2 linked regions of the Struthio camelus genome follow. The protein of the gene in region 1 interacts with the protein of each later gene in a pairwise test. Links are inferred from orthologs where the notes say so. Each region holds a gene or a part of one and is shown in the gene's direction. Other genes may lie near its edges.

Evidence for each region.
Region 2: the proteins of PLEKHF2 (region 1) and FRMD8 interact in binary tests that used the Homo sapiens proteins (3 or more experiments, as listed by UniProt). The two-hybrid records come from large-scale screens. The link is inferred for Struthio camelus from reciprocal best matches to the Homo sapiens genes PLEKHF2 and FRMD8.

The regions. Positions count from the first base shown.
Region 1 is NC_090943.1:148,700,321-148,708,234, reverse strand, and holds the start of PLEKHF2 (pleckstrin homology domain-containing family F member 2), read left to right. Parts: upstream 1-4,840; 5' UTR 4,841-4,884; exon of another isoform or gene 4,885-4,969; intron 4,970-7,914. UniProt on the Homo sapiens protein: May play a role in early endosome fusion upstream of RAB5, hence regulating receptor trafficking and fluid-phase transport. Enhances cellular sensitivity to TNF-induced apoptosis.
Region 2 is NC_090976.1:75,483-82,564, reverse strand, and holds the start of FRMD8 (FERM domain-containing protein 8), read left to right. Parts: upstream 1-4,011; 5' UTR 4,012-4,092; coding exon 4,093-4,150; intron 4,151-5,005; coding exon 5,006-5,173; intron 5,174-6,391; coding exon 6,392-6,493; intron 6,494-6,603; coding exon 6,604-6,662; intron 6,663-7,082. UniProt on the Homo sapiens protein: Promotes the cell surface stability of iRhom1/RHBDF1 and iRhom2/RHBDF2 and prevents their degradation via the endolysosomal pathway. By acting on iRhoms, involved in ADAM17-mediated shedding of TNF, amphiregulin/AREG, HBEGF and TGFA from the cell surface.

The DNA.
Region 1 (7,914 bases):
AATAGGGATGGGAAATGTTGTTTGCTGATAAATCTCTTATGGCTTCCTACATCAGAACCACAAGGTGTTCTGGAGCATCTAAGCCACAATGTTGGGACCAAGGTAGCAAGATTGTTCAGACTTCTCTCACTCTATACTTTAAAAAAAAAAAAAACTAAAAAAAACTAAAAATCCACTCTTAAAAATTCAGAGGGCATGCCCAGTTTTGTCAGAGTGTGTCCAGATGCTGTTTCTTGGTATATTATTGCGTATAATCAATTACGGCTGAAGCATGAAAGCTAAAATTTTAGAATTTCACACCTTCTATAGATACTCCAGGCAGAGCAAAACATTGCAGTCCCGTTGGGCATCCATGCCTATTAGGATTGTCATGCTTAAATAAGCATAAAATTAAATGAGGAGGAAGGAAAAACTGTTTAGATATAACCGTTGGGCTGCTTCAGTGTCGAAAAGACCACATTTCTTCACCAAAGTGTTTGCCCGTGACGTTCTGGTTTAGAAATCTGGTCTCTGATCTAACCAAAACAGCCCAAGCAATGGTCGGCTGCTGTTTTCACTCTATGCAAACCTCTGAGATTCCCAGATGTATATTCAGGCTCACCCTGAAATTTTCACCTTAACTAAAAAAAAAAAGAATACTCCATGGGAGGGCTGCAGCAAAGGTGGAAATGTGTGAAGGGCTGAATAACAATGTGATTCTCAGAAGTGAGAGGTCTGCACTGCAGCTTCAGAAACTGCGTAAGACCTGCCTGCTTGCAAATATTGCTTTTTGTAGTGTAAGTAAAAGACAGAATCAACTAATGTGAGGCAGAGGAGGAATTTAGCGCCATAACTCTAAAATCACATTGCAGGTAAGCCGGCTGCCTAACACTAGAGGCCGCCAAGCCTTGCAAACACCTCTGTTTAAGGGTCTTGAGGAGGAGCCTGGAGCTGTGTCCGTGGGCAGGTACAGAGCCATCGTGGTAGCAGTAGCTTGATGTTTTTTCACTGCTCCGTCCAGTAGGCTCGAGAAACGTAGTGTCCTACATAGGCCTCTTGAGAGTCGCTCAGCAAGCCCAGGACGTGCCAGCATAACTGGCTTTTCATAGGCTATGGCTGCGGTCCTTTGCGGGCATCTTGGGGAAGCAGAGAGGTCCTGCCCTGACTACCTTCTTAGCTCGTGGCACCCTCAAACCCACAGGAGAGCTTCCCGTCAACCTCCATCTCCTGGGGATGTAAAGAGGCAGCTCTGTGTGGCTCAGCTTTTCCCGCTGGCGTTGTTCCATTGTACAGCAAAGGATTCACAATTCATTTGGAAAGAGGTGAGAGGGACCATGAGGCTACAGCCCTCACGTTGTATTTGTCCCCTCCAAGAGGAGAGCACTAAGCTCTGGTGTCTGCTTCTGAGACTGGGAATTAGGTGTTTATGTGCCTTTGAGATCTGGATCTAGGCCTCAGTCTGTTGGAGAGCTTAAATGCAAACTGTTCCTGGAGGAATGGAAGTCTGAAACCGTTTTCCTGCCAATCCACAGTCAGATGCTATTATCATTGCTTAAAGAAACCCGAAGGGTTCAAATATAGCATAACTTCTGTTTGCCTGCTTCTAATGCCAGGAGATGTAAAAGCACCCTAAAGGGCTTCTAATGCCAGGAGATGTAAAAGCACCCTAAAGGTTTGTCCGTCCATATTTTCTTAATTGAGTTATTGCTCATTGCTGTTGAAAGTGAACACAAAAAGGTGTTCCTCCTCTTAAGCCATAGCTCAGAATAGGACAGTTTAAGGATGGAAATCCAAATTTCAGCTTATGGTTTGTTCAGAAATATATACATGGAACTTGATTCCTTCAGTGTTTTCTAGAACACTTTACAAAGCCGGGTTCACGACAAATTAACAGGATCTGCGTTCTTACAGATCCTATGGTCTACACTTTTAGTAACATAAATATGCTCTGAACTGCAAAAATGCTATGCCTTTCTAACCCTTGGAAACCAAAAATTGCAAAACTTAGGACCTACTGATGTTTTTTAAAAAATATCTTTGATTAATTTCTAATAAAGGATGGAAGGGCATCTTTTCCGTTCAAGAGTGGAAGTTTAGAATTGGGCATTACAGATTATTTAGTGAGAGCTGAAGTTAAAAATAACACAAATGTTTGCAGGGACAGTAAAAGACACTGCTCTGTAGTAAACAAAGAGGTATTTCTGGTTTGGCTTCTGAGTCCTTTCTTCTCAGGGTGTCAGCTGGCAGTTTGGCTGTGTAGAAAACTGAGGACAAGAATGCTGTTTGCAAGAGAATCGAGTTTCTGCAACTAAAATGGGATAAGTGCCAAATGAATGAAAGGTTGTTCTATGTCTGTATTAATTTTTGTTATAAACATAATTTTTGGGGAAAGGCCTTGCCCCTTCTGGCTACCTCTTTGCCAAATTCTTTCATTACCTTTGATGTACAATATGTGTGGCTTCCTCATTATGACGAATTCTCATCAAACTAAAACTCATAACATAGATGACAGAATTTTTCAGCTTTCTGTTGGCTGATTGGAAATTGCCTTCAAGTTCTAAAGACATTTTGAATACAAAGATGGTGAATAAAACTAGTCAGAAATTCATACTGTGTTAAAACACAGCGATCCCTTTCTGTTTACAATGTCAGAGAAGCAATCTATCAGAAAACAAGTTTGGCGTTTTTTCTTCATTTCATTTTTTTTCTTATGTTGAGAATAAAACTCTAACCCCACCTGGTCCCTGCTGAAGTTAACGCACACATTGACCTGAACCTACTCAGAGAATCAAGGTTTTCAAAAATCATTAACAGTAAATTTCCATACTTCAAATTTGGCTCTAGTTAGCTAGGTTAGTTGGCTTCAGTGGACTTGCCAAGAAGTAATTGATTAAAGGTTAGCAAACAGGCATAATAATGTTTCAGAAGAATATGAACTATAGGTGTGCTGGCTCCTACAGAATGCATAGAAATAGAAAGCAGCAAAAACTTAGTAAAGGTTACTTATATATGCTATAAACATAATAATATGCTTATATATTATACTACATAATATCAGTATAATAATTTATGTTTTAATGAATTTTTACAAAATCAAATGACACATGATGTTATGGAGGTGAAAAAAAGGAATTGGATAAATTTGGTGACTATCAAATAGAGTTTTGATTGCAACCTCTAGCACAGTAAGCCCACCTGTCCAAAAAAAAAAAAAAAAAAGACTATTGGAAGCTCAGTTCATGAAATAAATATTTAATTGTTCTATTTTTGTATTTTCTTCCTAAGCCTACACCAGTGGTCACTCTTGGGGACAGGGCACTAAGTTAAACGGACTTCAGACACGACCCATTTAGGTTAAGTGTGAAGAACAGAGTGGTCTGTTTTGAGCATTGTCAACTTTTTATCTGTTTATATTTAGTTCTAGTTTTTGACTTCAGCAAGCTGGAAGAGAACTCAAAAAGGAGTGAGGAAATGGTAGGAGCTGAAAAGAGCAGTCTCATAATTTGCAGGAAAGTTAGAGAAAAGAAAATTGTCATGGACAGACTACACAGCCCTCTACCAGAGTTTGAAAAGCAACCGCAATACGATTTGTTTGGAGAGAGAAGGGGAAAAAAAAGCATTAATAAAAAAGAAGTTTTTCACGCACACTTGGTTTCCTAGCTGTTACTTCCTTTCTACCCAGACTCCTAGCGGCTCTTCTGGGTCTCTTGTCTCAGTGGGAGATTTGCTCTCCTACAGCAGGGGGCCTTTCTCCTTGACACGGTTTGTTGATTCTTCATCAGGAATCCATGGAAGGGGGTCAGGTTTGGTACTCGCATTAGCGATTTGGGTTCCTTACCGCTGCGTGCTTGGGAATTCACTCTCTGAGCTGGGACTGCATCTGAATGACCCCTGTGGCGCGAATGCGTGTCAGTGGCCCTTCTCATCTGTCCCGGCCATTCGTCACACCTCCCTGCAGAAGCAGTTGTTCCCGAAGCTACAACCGTGACAACCCAAACCGAGCACAGCTCTTCGGTTCCCGTGATTTGTTAAATCCTTTAGGGCAGCGCTCAGCTTGGGCTGGGCCTTGCGGGTTTGGGAGGAGAAGCAGCCGTAGGAGCGGGGGCACTGCTGTGTGCTGGGCATGGGCAGCTCCAGCGCAGCGGGCTCTCCCGGTGCCGGGCGGGAGGACACACGCGCGGCCCCCTCGGCGCTGCGCTGCGCCCCGCCGCCCTCCCCCAGAGCGCGCCAGGCCGGGGGCTCCCCACGGCTCCCCACGGCCCCCCTTTTCCGCGCGACCATGCCAGCTGCGATATGAATTCCTCCTGACGTCACGTTTAAAAAAACGCCACTGCCAAAAATGCCACAAGCTCACTTTTAACTCTGCACCTTCATCAAGGCAAACAACCCTGCCTTACGAATCTGAATCAAACTCAGCAACTTTAGTGGGCTCATTATTACCCCTGGAAAGCCACACTGCCTAAGCGGATTTGTCCCCCCCCCCCCCAGAAAAGCCAGCCGCTGTACTGCCCAGTAAATCAGCTGAACGGGAGATGTGGAAAACGAAACTCTGCTGTATTTCACGTTAAGCGAAACTTTTTCTTAAAACAGCTTCGGGCCGTTTGCCACAGGGCAGTCCCGCCCGCTGCAGCGGGGCGAGAGCAGGCAGCGCCGCGTTAACGCCGCGACGACCGCGCTCCGCTGTCACTTCCCTGCGAAGCTCGCAGCAACCCCGAGCCAAAGCCGGGAAGCAGGAGGCGGCGCGGACAGGCCGGAGCCGGGGCCGAGGCGGCGGCGCGGAGCGGACGGAGGCGCCACCCCGACCCTTCCCGCTGGGCCTCGCCCCTCCCAAGATGGCGGCGGCCCCGCCCCGCGCGGGCGGTGCCCGACCCCCCCCCTCCGCGGCGGCGGCGGTGGCGGTGACGGGTGTGTGACCGCGGCTGCGGTGGGCAGAGGGCGGGAGGCGGCAGCGACTGGAGCGGAGGGAGCTGCGAGCGCCGGGCGGCGCGGGGTGAGGAGCGCGGCGGCCGGGGCCGGGCGGGGAGCGAGAGGAAAACTTTCCTGGCGGAGCCCCTTCGCTGCCGGCCGGGGCTCCGGCCGCCCTTGCGCGGCCATGTTGGGAGCCGGGGGCTGCCTGGCGGGGGAAGGAGCGGCCCCGGCGGCGGCGGCGGCGGGCTCCGCCGAGCCCCGTGGGCGGCCTCGGCCCGGGCTGGCGGCGCTGGGGTGCCGGCCGGGCGCGGCGGGGAGGGCGCGGGCAGCCCGCGGCGGAGCGGGGCGGCGGCGGCGCGCCGGGCTGGCTGTGGGGCAGGGCAGCGGCGGCCGGCGCTTGTTTTTTTCCCCCCGAGGTGCCGACAGAGTTGCCGAAGCGAGTTCGTCTTTACAAGGGGCGCGGGGGGGGGGAGAAGCGCAGCCCGAGCCGCGGCCGCCCCGAGGCGTTACATAAGTGCGCGGGGCTCCTGGAGCCGTGACGGGCGGCGGGGCCGGGGCGCCCGGCGGGAGCGGCTGTGTGCGGGCGGTGCGCGGAGCCGCCTGCGCGAGCTGCAGCGGCCCTCGCCGAGCGCGGTAGCGAGGGCGGCGGCGGCGGCGGCGGCGCGGGCGTCCTGGTAACTTTCAGCTACTCGTCGTTTTCCAGGCGAGCAGAGCGGCTGCCCTGCCGAAACCTTCTGGATGCTGTGGCTTTAAAAAAACAAAACAGACAAACAGGTGAAAGCGTGGAGGGCGCATCTGTCAGCGGGAAACTTGCTACTTCGCTGTTAAATTTGCCTCTCTTGGAGAGGAACGCGACTGGTCTGCTTAAAATACCTGGGGCGCCTAAGTTGTCCGAGAGCGGTTCGAGCTAAGGCATCTTGGCCGCAGGTTTTCCCTTTTGCCTGCGCTGCGTGCAGAAAACCCCGGGTTTATAAGTAGCTAGTGAATGAACTGTTCTTCATGGTGGGGGGGGGAACCCCAAAGAAACAAGCAAAAAAACCCAGTGAATTGGTCTACGGAGAGTGCATCCTGGCGTCTGATTTGTCCTGATTAACAAAAAATGGCTTTGGCTTAAGTTTTGACGTTAAGCACCAGTGCAATAGTTTGCGATACCCTAAAACTACCTGTTATATCGCTTAACCACATATTAAGACTTCCTTTGCTTCTGTTTCGATCGCGTGGCTGAGAGCGGTGCCGGAGGCAGCATTAACCTCTGACTCAGTCTGTGCCGCGTGCCGGGTGATTACTCTGGGGGTTAATGCTTTTTGGACAAACGCTATGTTTCAGGCTCTCATGTGCCTATCGCTTTGCCTACTCTATTAACCTTGTCTAAACCTAAACCGACTCTGAGATCAAACCCACAAAACTGGAATCAAATTTGGAACTGAGATTACTAATTTCTCTTACTTTCTCTAAGTAAAGGAAAAACTTAAATACGCAGCTTTCACATTCTAAGAATAGTAGATTTTGAATTATTTTCAGGGATGGTCACCTGAAAGAAGGGAAGTATTTAAAGACTGCAGTGTAATTACTCAGTGTTGAGCTCCTACAGATGCTTGTTTTATGTGAGCACATCAGTGTGAGAAAGGAATCAAGTTTTTAGCAATGAATGCAAATTTTTTCGCTTTTGAACTATGTGGTCTAAATACTATTGACTAATCAGGTGAGAATCCTTATGTAGTTAAAGGTCATGCATATCAGCTCAACTTACTTAATAATACTTTCCAGGGTGTTTCAGGGCAGTGTAGCTTATGTTCGAAATGGCATGCTAGCTAAGTGTCCAAAGTGCAGTGAAAGTGAAGCCTTGTAAGCATTACTCCCAAATTCTTCCTTCTAAATGTAAATAGACCATGTGGCGTTTGGAGTGATTAAGAGGTTTGTTCTGTGTAGAAAGCTACACAGAGGAATTCCCTTAAATGCTAGATGAAAACTAGTGAGTAGAAATTTGGGACTGGGGAAGCTGGATCACTTTCCTGCTTCCTATCTTTTACAATTAAGCAGAGCGATATCTTTTCGTCTGGAAGCAAGTTTTCATTAAAACCAGGAAGGAAATCGTTCTTTAGCAAGGGCTACGTTCTGTTTTCCTTAAATTATGGACAGAGATTGTAAGTTAGTATTGCGTACTTCTCTGGACTAACAGAAGATCTACCGTTAACCTCCTGAAGCCCATTAGTTTACGCGTTTACAGTAGAACGGTTATTGTGTTCAGATGGCGTTGCGACTTCTTGGTTTCGCCGTTGTGCTTATGGATGCAGGAAGGCTTCTTCTTGTCTGGTCAGAGCAGTAAAAGCAGCCTGGAAGGGCAGTTTTTAATGAGCCGGGATATCGCAGAGCGCGGCAGGCACATCTAGTTTACCCTGCCAGGAAGAGCCGAGGGAGTGCAATAAGGCAGGGTGTTGCCTGCAGGGTAGGATATGAACGGTTTTTTGTTACACTCGGAGCGTTTGTGGTGCTTTATCTTCCCCAAAGGGGGCTAGACATGTTAAAATGAAAGCTTAGGGTCGAGATATGGCGTGTCGATGAGGCAGAGTTGTTTTTACGCCTGAAGATATCATTTTCTGAAAAATTAGTGGTAACTAAAATGTTAGAAGTATTGGCCAAGCAAACAAACGGTATGCAAGTTTTTATTTTTAAAGGCCATTTGTTAGTGGGTGATGTCAAATAAGGAACTCCAGTGTTAACTGCGGATAAGTTTGTTAGATGTTGGTAGGTAAGAAAGTTAGTTAACTTAATGCTCTCTCTTTTTTTTTGTATTAAGAAGTTAAACTTTATTCTGTACTACTTTAAGTTCGCAAGGCATGCTTTTGACTTATTCCAAGCTCTGTTAATATTCAAGATTATTTTTCCATTTAACTCATGTGGATTTTTTTTTTTACGGTTGTTGATATCTGTGTATATATGTTTTGCTACTTTCATAGACTAATTCCATAATTTGATGGAAATGTGATAATTTGGGGATTGTTCTGAAAGAGAATAAATAGGGTGCAG
Region 2 (7,082 bases), on another chromosome or scaffold:
GGCGCCGCCATCGCCGCCGCCGCCGCCGCCGTCCCCGGCAAGGAGAAGCCGCCCGGCCCGGCCAAGGCGCCTGCCAAGGGGAAGAAAAACAAGGACAAGGAGTATTACGTGTGAGCGCCCCGAAACCGGAGCCGAGCGGGGGGCCCCCTGTACCCCGAAACCGGAGCCAAGTGGGGCCCCCCATCCCCCGAAACCGGAGCCGAGCGGGGCCCCCGTACACCGAAACCGGAGCCGAGCGGGGGCCCCCGTACACCGAAACCGGAGCCGAGCGGGGCCCCCTGTACCCCGAAACTGGAGCTGCACGGGGTCCCCCCGTACACCGAAACTGGAGCCAAGTGGGGCCCCCCGTCCCCCGAAACCGGAGCCGAGCGGGGCCCCCGTTCCCCAAAACCGGAGCCGAGCGGGGGGCCCCGTACACCGAAACCGGAGCCGAGCAGGGCCCCCCCGTACACCGAAACCGGAGCCGAGCGGGGCCCCCTGTACCCCGAAACTGGAGCCGAGCGGGGGGCCCCGTACACCAAAACCGGAGCCGAGCGGGGGGCCCTGTACCCCGAAACCGGAGCCGAGCGGGGCCCCCTGTACCCCGAAACTGGAGCTGAGCGGGGGGCCCCGTTCCCCAAAACCGGAGCCGAGCGGGGCCCCCCGTTCCCCAAAACCGGAGCCGAGCGGGGGGCCCCCGTACACCGAAACCGGAGCCGAGCGGGGCCCCCTGTACCCCGAAACTGGAGCCGAGCGGGGCCCCCGTACACCGAAACTGGAGCTGAGCGGGGGCCCCCCGTACACCGAAACCGGAGCCGAGCGGGGCCCCCCCGTCCCGGAGCGGCGACGCGGGGTGACGTCCCCCCCCCAACCACCACCACCATCACCCCGACCCCGAGGCCAGCGAAGACCGACGTGGGATGTGTCGTCCCCCCCGACCCCGGAGCGACGCCGCGGAGGGTCGCCCCGAAACGACGGCCCCGGCGCGGGACGGCCCCCGCCCCCCCCCGCTGGTGCCCCCTCCTCGCAGCGCGGCGGCCGACGAAACGCAGACCGGCCCCGGGGGGGGGGATCTCCCCCCTCCCCATCGCAAAATGGCGCCCGACGTGGGGGTCCCACCTACATCGCAAAATGGCGCCCGACGTGGGGGTCCCCCCCACCCTCATCACAAAATGGCGCTGGACGTGGGGGTCCCAGTTTCACCACAAAATGGCGCCCGACGTGGGGGTCCCACCTTCACCGCAAAATGGCGCCCGACGTGGGGGTCTCCCCCACCCTCACCACAAAATGGCGCCCGACGTGGGGGTCCCACCTACATCGCAAAATGGCGCCCGACGTGGGGGTCTCCCCCACCCTCATCACAAAATGGCGCTGGACGTGGGGGTCCCACCCTCACCACAAAATGGCGCCCGACGTGGGGGTCCCACCTTCACCGCAAAATGGCGCCTGACGTGGGGGTCTCCCCCACCCTCACCACAAAATGGCGCCCGACGTGGGGGTCCCACCTACATCGCAAAATGGCGTCCGACGTGGGGGGGTCTCACGTTCACCGCAAAATGGCGCCCAACGTGGGGGTCTCCCCCACCCTCACCACAAAATGGCGCTGGACGTGGGGGTCCCACCCTCACCACAAAATGGCGCCCGACGTGGGGGTCCCACCTTCACCGCAAAATGGCGCCCGACGTGGGCCCCCATCACAACATGGCACCCGGCGACGCGGGCGCCCTCCGCGAGACAGTGACCGACGTGGGGGGGTCCCCAAGCCGGAGCGACGGCGCGGCGGGTCCCCCCCTCCCCGAACGATGACCGACGCGGCGTCCCCTCCACACCCAACGGCGTCCGGCCGCGCAGGGGGGGGTCTTGCCACAAAATGGCGCCTGGCGTGGGGGTATTGCCGCAAAATGGTGTCTGGTGTGGGGATCTGGCCACAAAATGGTGTCTGATGTGGGGATCTGGCCACAAAATGGCGCCCAGTGTGGGGATCTGGCCACAAAATGGCGCCCAGTGTGGGGGTCCCACCACAAAATGGTGCCAGTGTGGGGATCTGGCCACAAAATGGCGTCTGGTGTGCGGGTCCCGCCACAAAATGGCGTCTGGTGTGGGGGGTCTTGCCACAAAATGGCAACTGGGGAGGGTCCCACCACAAAATGGCACCCAGTGTGGGGGTCCCACCACAAAATGGCATCTGGTGTGGGGGTCCCGCCACAAAATGGTGCCCAGTGTGGGGGTCCCGCCACAAAATGGTGCCAGTGTGGGGGTCCCGCCACAAAATGGCGCCCGGTGTGGGGGTCCCGCCACAAAATGGTGTCTGGTGTGGGGGGTCTTGCCACAAAATGGCAACTGGGGAGGGTCCCACCACAAAATGGCACCCAGTGTGGGGGTCCCACCACAAAATGGCATCTGGTGTGGGGGGTCCCGCCACAAAATGGTGCCCAGTGTGGGGGTCCCGCCACAAAATGGCGCCCGGTGTGGGGGTCCCGCCACAAAATGGTGTCTGGTGTGGGGGGTCTTGCCACAAAATGGCAACTGGGGAGGGTCCCACCACAAAATGGCGCCCGGTGTGGGGGTCCCGCCACAAAATGGCGCCCGGCGTGGGGGGTCCCGCCACAAAATGGCGACTGAGGCGGGGGGCCCCCGTTCCCCAGGCGGCCCCCGGCCCTGCGGGGACCCCCACGAGATGGCGGCCGGGCCGGAGCGCCCCCCGCCCGGACCGAGGACGCCGAGGGGCCCCCGAAACGGGGTGTCGCCCCCCCACAACATGGCGCCCGGCCATGCGGGGTCGTGCCCCCCCCCCCCAAACACACAAAATGGCGCCGGGTTGGGGTCCCCCCCACAAAATGGCGCCAGGTTGGGGCCCCCCCTCGGGCCGCGTTGGGGGGGGGGAGGCGCCGTTTTTACTCTTTTTCTTCCGTTCGGTTTTACCCGTTTCCCCCCGTTTTCCGCTGCCGGTTTTTGTTTGTTTGTTTTTTTTAATTTCGGACAAAACCGACGACGACAATAAAAGAAACGAGAAACCGGGGTCCGCCCCCCCCTCCCCCCCCGCCCGCCGCCGCGCTCCGGGACTCCTGGGCCCCCCTCGGACTCCTGGGCCCCCTCGGACTCCGGGGCCCCCCAGGACCCCCGCTGCACTCCAGGACTCCTGGGCCCCTCTCGGACTCCTGGGCCCCTCTCGGACTCCGGGGCCCCCCAGGACCCCCGCTGCACTCCGGGACTCCTGGGCCCCTCTCAGACTCCTGGGCCCCCTCGGACTCCGGGGCCCCCCAGGACCCCCGCCGCGCTCCGGGACTCCTGGGCCCCTCTCAGACTCCTGGGCCCCCTCGGACTCCGGGGCCCCCCAGGACCCCCGCTGCACTCCGGGACTCCTGGGCCCCTCTCGGACTCCGGGGCCCCCCAGGACCCCCCCCGCCTTCCCCCCCCCGCCGCGCTCCGGGACTCCGGGGCCCCCCCGGGCCCCCCCCCGCCCATCGCGCACAGCGCAAACACGACTCTAACTTCGTAGCGCGCCTCCGCCTCTTCCTGCGCCGACCGGGGGGGGGCCCAGGCGGCCGGGGGGGGCCAGGAGACTGGGGGGGGGGGGGAAGGAGACTGGGGGGGCCAGGATACCGGGGGGGGCCCAGGAGACTGGGGTGGGGGCCCAGGCGTCCGGGGGGCCCAGGTGTCTGGGGGGCCCAGGCGACCGGGGGGGGGCCCAGGTGTCCGGGGGTGGCCTAGAAGACTGGAGGGGGGCCAGGCGTCTGGGGGGGCTCAGGAGACTGGGGGGGGCCCAGATGTCTGGGGGGCCCAGGCATCCGGGGGGGCCCAGGCGTCCGGGGGGGCCCAGGAGACTGGGGGGGGGGTCCAGGAGCCTGGGGGGGGCCCAGGCGTCCGGGTGCCGCGCCCGCCCCGCCGGCAGGTGGCAGCACCGCCGCTGGGGGGGGCGGCACGTGACGCGAAGGGGCGGGGCGCCGTGGATGACGTGTGGCTGCGGGGGGCGGGGCCGGGAGGGACCACGCCCCCTCCCCCCTCGGCGGCGCTTCCGGCGCGGCGGCGGCGGCGGCGGCGCCGAGCGGAGCCCGGGGCGCCCTGACCCCGGCGTGACCCCGGCGTGACCCCGGCGTGACCCCGGCCCCGCGCATGGAGGGGGAGGGGCCGCCCGCCCCCCCCGGCGGCGCCCGGCGCGGGAGCGGGACCGGTGAGAGGCCGGGACGCCTGGGCCCCTCGGGGGGAGGGGGCACCCGGACGCCTGGGCCCCCCGGGGGAGGGGGCACCTGGAGGCCCTGAACCGTTGGGGGCAGGCGGGGGCCCTGGGGGGGGAGGGCGCTACCAGGACGCCTGGGTCCCTCACGGGGGGTGGGGGCGGAGCTGGGTCCCTCGGACGCCGGGGCCCCCCCGGACACCAGGGCCCCGGGCGGAGCGGGGACGCCGGGGCGGTGGGACAGGTGGAGCGGGAGCCTGGACGCCGGGGCCCCTCGGACGCCGGGGCCCCCCGGACACCTGGGCCCCAGGCGGAGCGGGAGCCCGGGCGGCGGGACGGGCGGGGCGGGCCCCCCGGACACCTGGGCCCCTTGGACACCCCCGGACACCTGGGCCCCTCGGACACCTGGGCCCCGGGCGGAGCGGGAGCCTGGACACCGGGGCCCCGGGCAGCGGGATGAACAGAGCGGGACCCCCGGATGCCGGGGCCCCCTGGACACCTGGGCCCCTCGGACACCTGGGCCCCGGGCGGAGTGGGCCCCCTGGACACCTGGGCCCCCTGGACACCTGGGCCCCGGGCGGAGCGGGCCCCCTGGACACCTGGGCCCCCTGGACACCTGGGCCCCGGGCGGAGCGGGCCCCCTGGACACCTGGGCCCCTCGGACACCTGGGCCCCGGGCGGAGCGGGCCCCCTGGACACCTGGGCCCCTCGGACACCTGGGCCCCGGGCGGAGCGGGAGCCCGGGCGGCGGGCCGGGCGGGGCGGGCTGGGCCCCCCGGACACCTGGGCCCCCCGGAGGCGGGGGCCCCCGGAGGCCGGGCCCCGCGCAGCCGGACGCCGGGGCCCCCGCAGGGCCGGACGTGCTGGTGTTCCTGGCGGACGGGGCGGCGGTGCCGCTGGCGCTGGAGCACCCGCCCGGGGCGACGGCCGGCGAGCTGCAGCGGCGCCTGCGCGCCGCCCTGCGCCTGCCCGAGGCCGCCGGCCAGGCCCTGGCGCTCTGGCTCGCCTCGCCCCTGCTCGGTGAGCCGCGGGCCCGCGGGGGGCGGGGCCGGCCAGGACGCCCGGGCCCCTCGGGGGTGGTTGGGGCTCAGGACGCCCGGGCCCCTCGGGGGGGGCAGGGGTCAGGACGCCCGGGCCCCTCGGGGGGGGCAGGGGTCAAGTCAGGACACCTGGGCCCCTCCTGGGGGGTGGGGGTCAGGTCAGGACGCCTGGGCCCCTCCTGGGGGGTGGGGGGCGGGCCTGGACACCTGGGCCCCTCATGGGGGTGGGGGTTAGGTCAGGACGCCTGGGCCCCTTCTGGGGGTGGGGGTTAGGTCAGGACGCCTGGACCCCTCGGGGGGGCGGGGGTCAGGTCAGGACGCCTGGGCCCCTCCTGGGGGGCGGGGGTCAGGTCAGGACGCCTGGGCCCCTCCTGGGGGGTGGGGGGCGGGCCTGGACACCTGGGCCCCTCATGGGGGTGGGGGTTAGGTCAGGACGCCTGGGCCCCTTCTGGGGGTGGGGGTTAGGTCAGGACGCCTGGGCCCCTCGGGGGGGGCGGGGGTCAGGTCAGGACGCCTGGGCCCCTCATGGGGGGTGGGGGGCGGGCCTGGACACCTGGGCCCCTCCTGGGGGTGGGGGTTAGGTCAGGACGCCTGGGCCCCTTCTGGGGGTGGGGGTCAGGTCAGGACGCCTGGGCCCCTCTTGGGGGGGGGTTGGGGTCAGGTCAGGACGTCTGGGCCCCTCGGGGGGGCGTTGGTCGGGCCCGGACGCCTGGGCCCCTCCTGGGGGGTGGGGGTCAAGTCAGGACACCTGGGCCCCTCGGGGGGGCGGGGGTCAGGTCAGGACGCCTGGGCCCCTCCTGGGGGGTGGGGGTCAGGTCAGGACGCCTGGGCCCCTCCTGGGGGGTGGGGGGCGGGCCTGGACACCTGGGCCCCTCATGGGGGTGGGGGTTAGGTCAGGACGCCTGGGCCCCTTCTGGGGGTGGGGGTTAGGTCAGGACGCCTGGGCCCCTCGGGGGGGGTTGGGGTCAGGTCAGGACACCTGGGCCCCTCGGGGGGTGGGGGTCAGGTCAGGACGCCTGGGCCCCTCCTGGGGGGGAGTGGGGGTCCGGTCAGGACGCCTGGGTCCCTCGGGGGGTGGAGGTCAGGTCAGGACGCCTGGGCCCCTCGGGGGGTGGGGGTCAGGTCAGGACGCCTGGGCCCCTCGGGGGGGCGGGGGTCGGGCCCGGACGCCTGGGCCCCCGCTGACGCCGGCCCCCAGAGGTGCAGCTCAAGCCCAAGCACCAGCCGTTCCGCCTCTGCCGCCAGTGGCCGGAGCTGCTGCTGCGCTTCAGCGACGCCCCCGACAGCGACATCGCCCAGGGTGAGCCGGACGCCTGGGCCCCCCGGACGCCTGGGCCCCTGCAGGGGGCACGGGGGCAGACGCGGGGCCCCCCGGACGCCTGGGCCCCGCCTGACTCCGTCTGCCCCCAGATGAGCCGTGTCTGCAGCTGCGCAGGAACGTCTTCTTCTCCAAGAAGAAGGAGCTGGAGGTGAGACGCTCCCGGACGCCTGGGTCCCCTCCCGGACGCCTGGGTCCCCGGGAGGGCTGGGCAAGGGGGGTGATGGGGTCCCAGATGCCCGGGTCCCCACAGGGGCTGGGTGGAGGGGATGGGGGGCTGCCCCGGACGCCCGGGTCCCCACAGGGGCTGGGTGGAGGGGATGGGGGTCTGCCCCGGACGCCTGGGTCCTCGTGGGGGCTGGGTGGAGGGGATGGGGGCTGCCCCGGACACCTGGGTCCCCGTGGCGGGGGGCTGCCCCGGACGCCTGGGTCCTCGTGGGGGCTGGGTGGAGGGAGTGGGGGGCTGCCCCGGACGCCTGGGTCCCTGTGGGGGCTGGGTGGAGGGGATGGGGGCTGCCCCGGACGCCTGGGTCCCCGTGGGGGCTGGGTGGAGGGGATGGGGGCTGCCCCG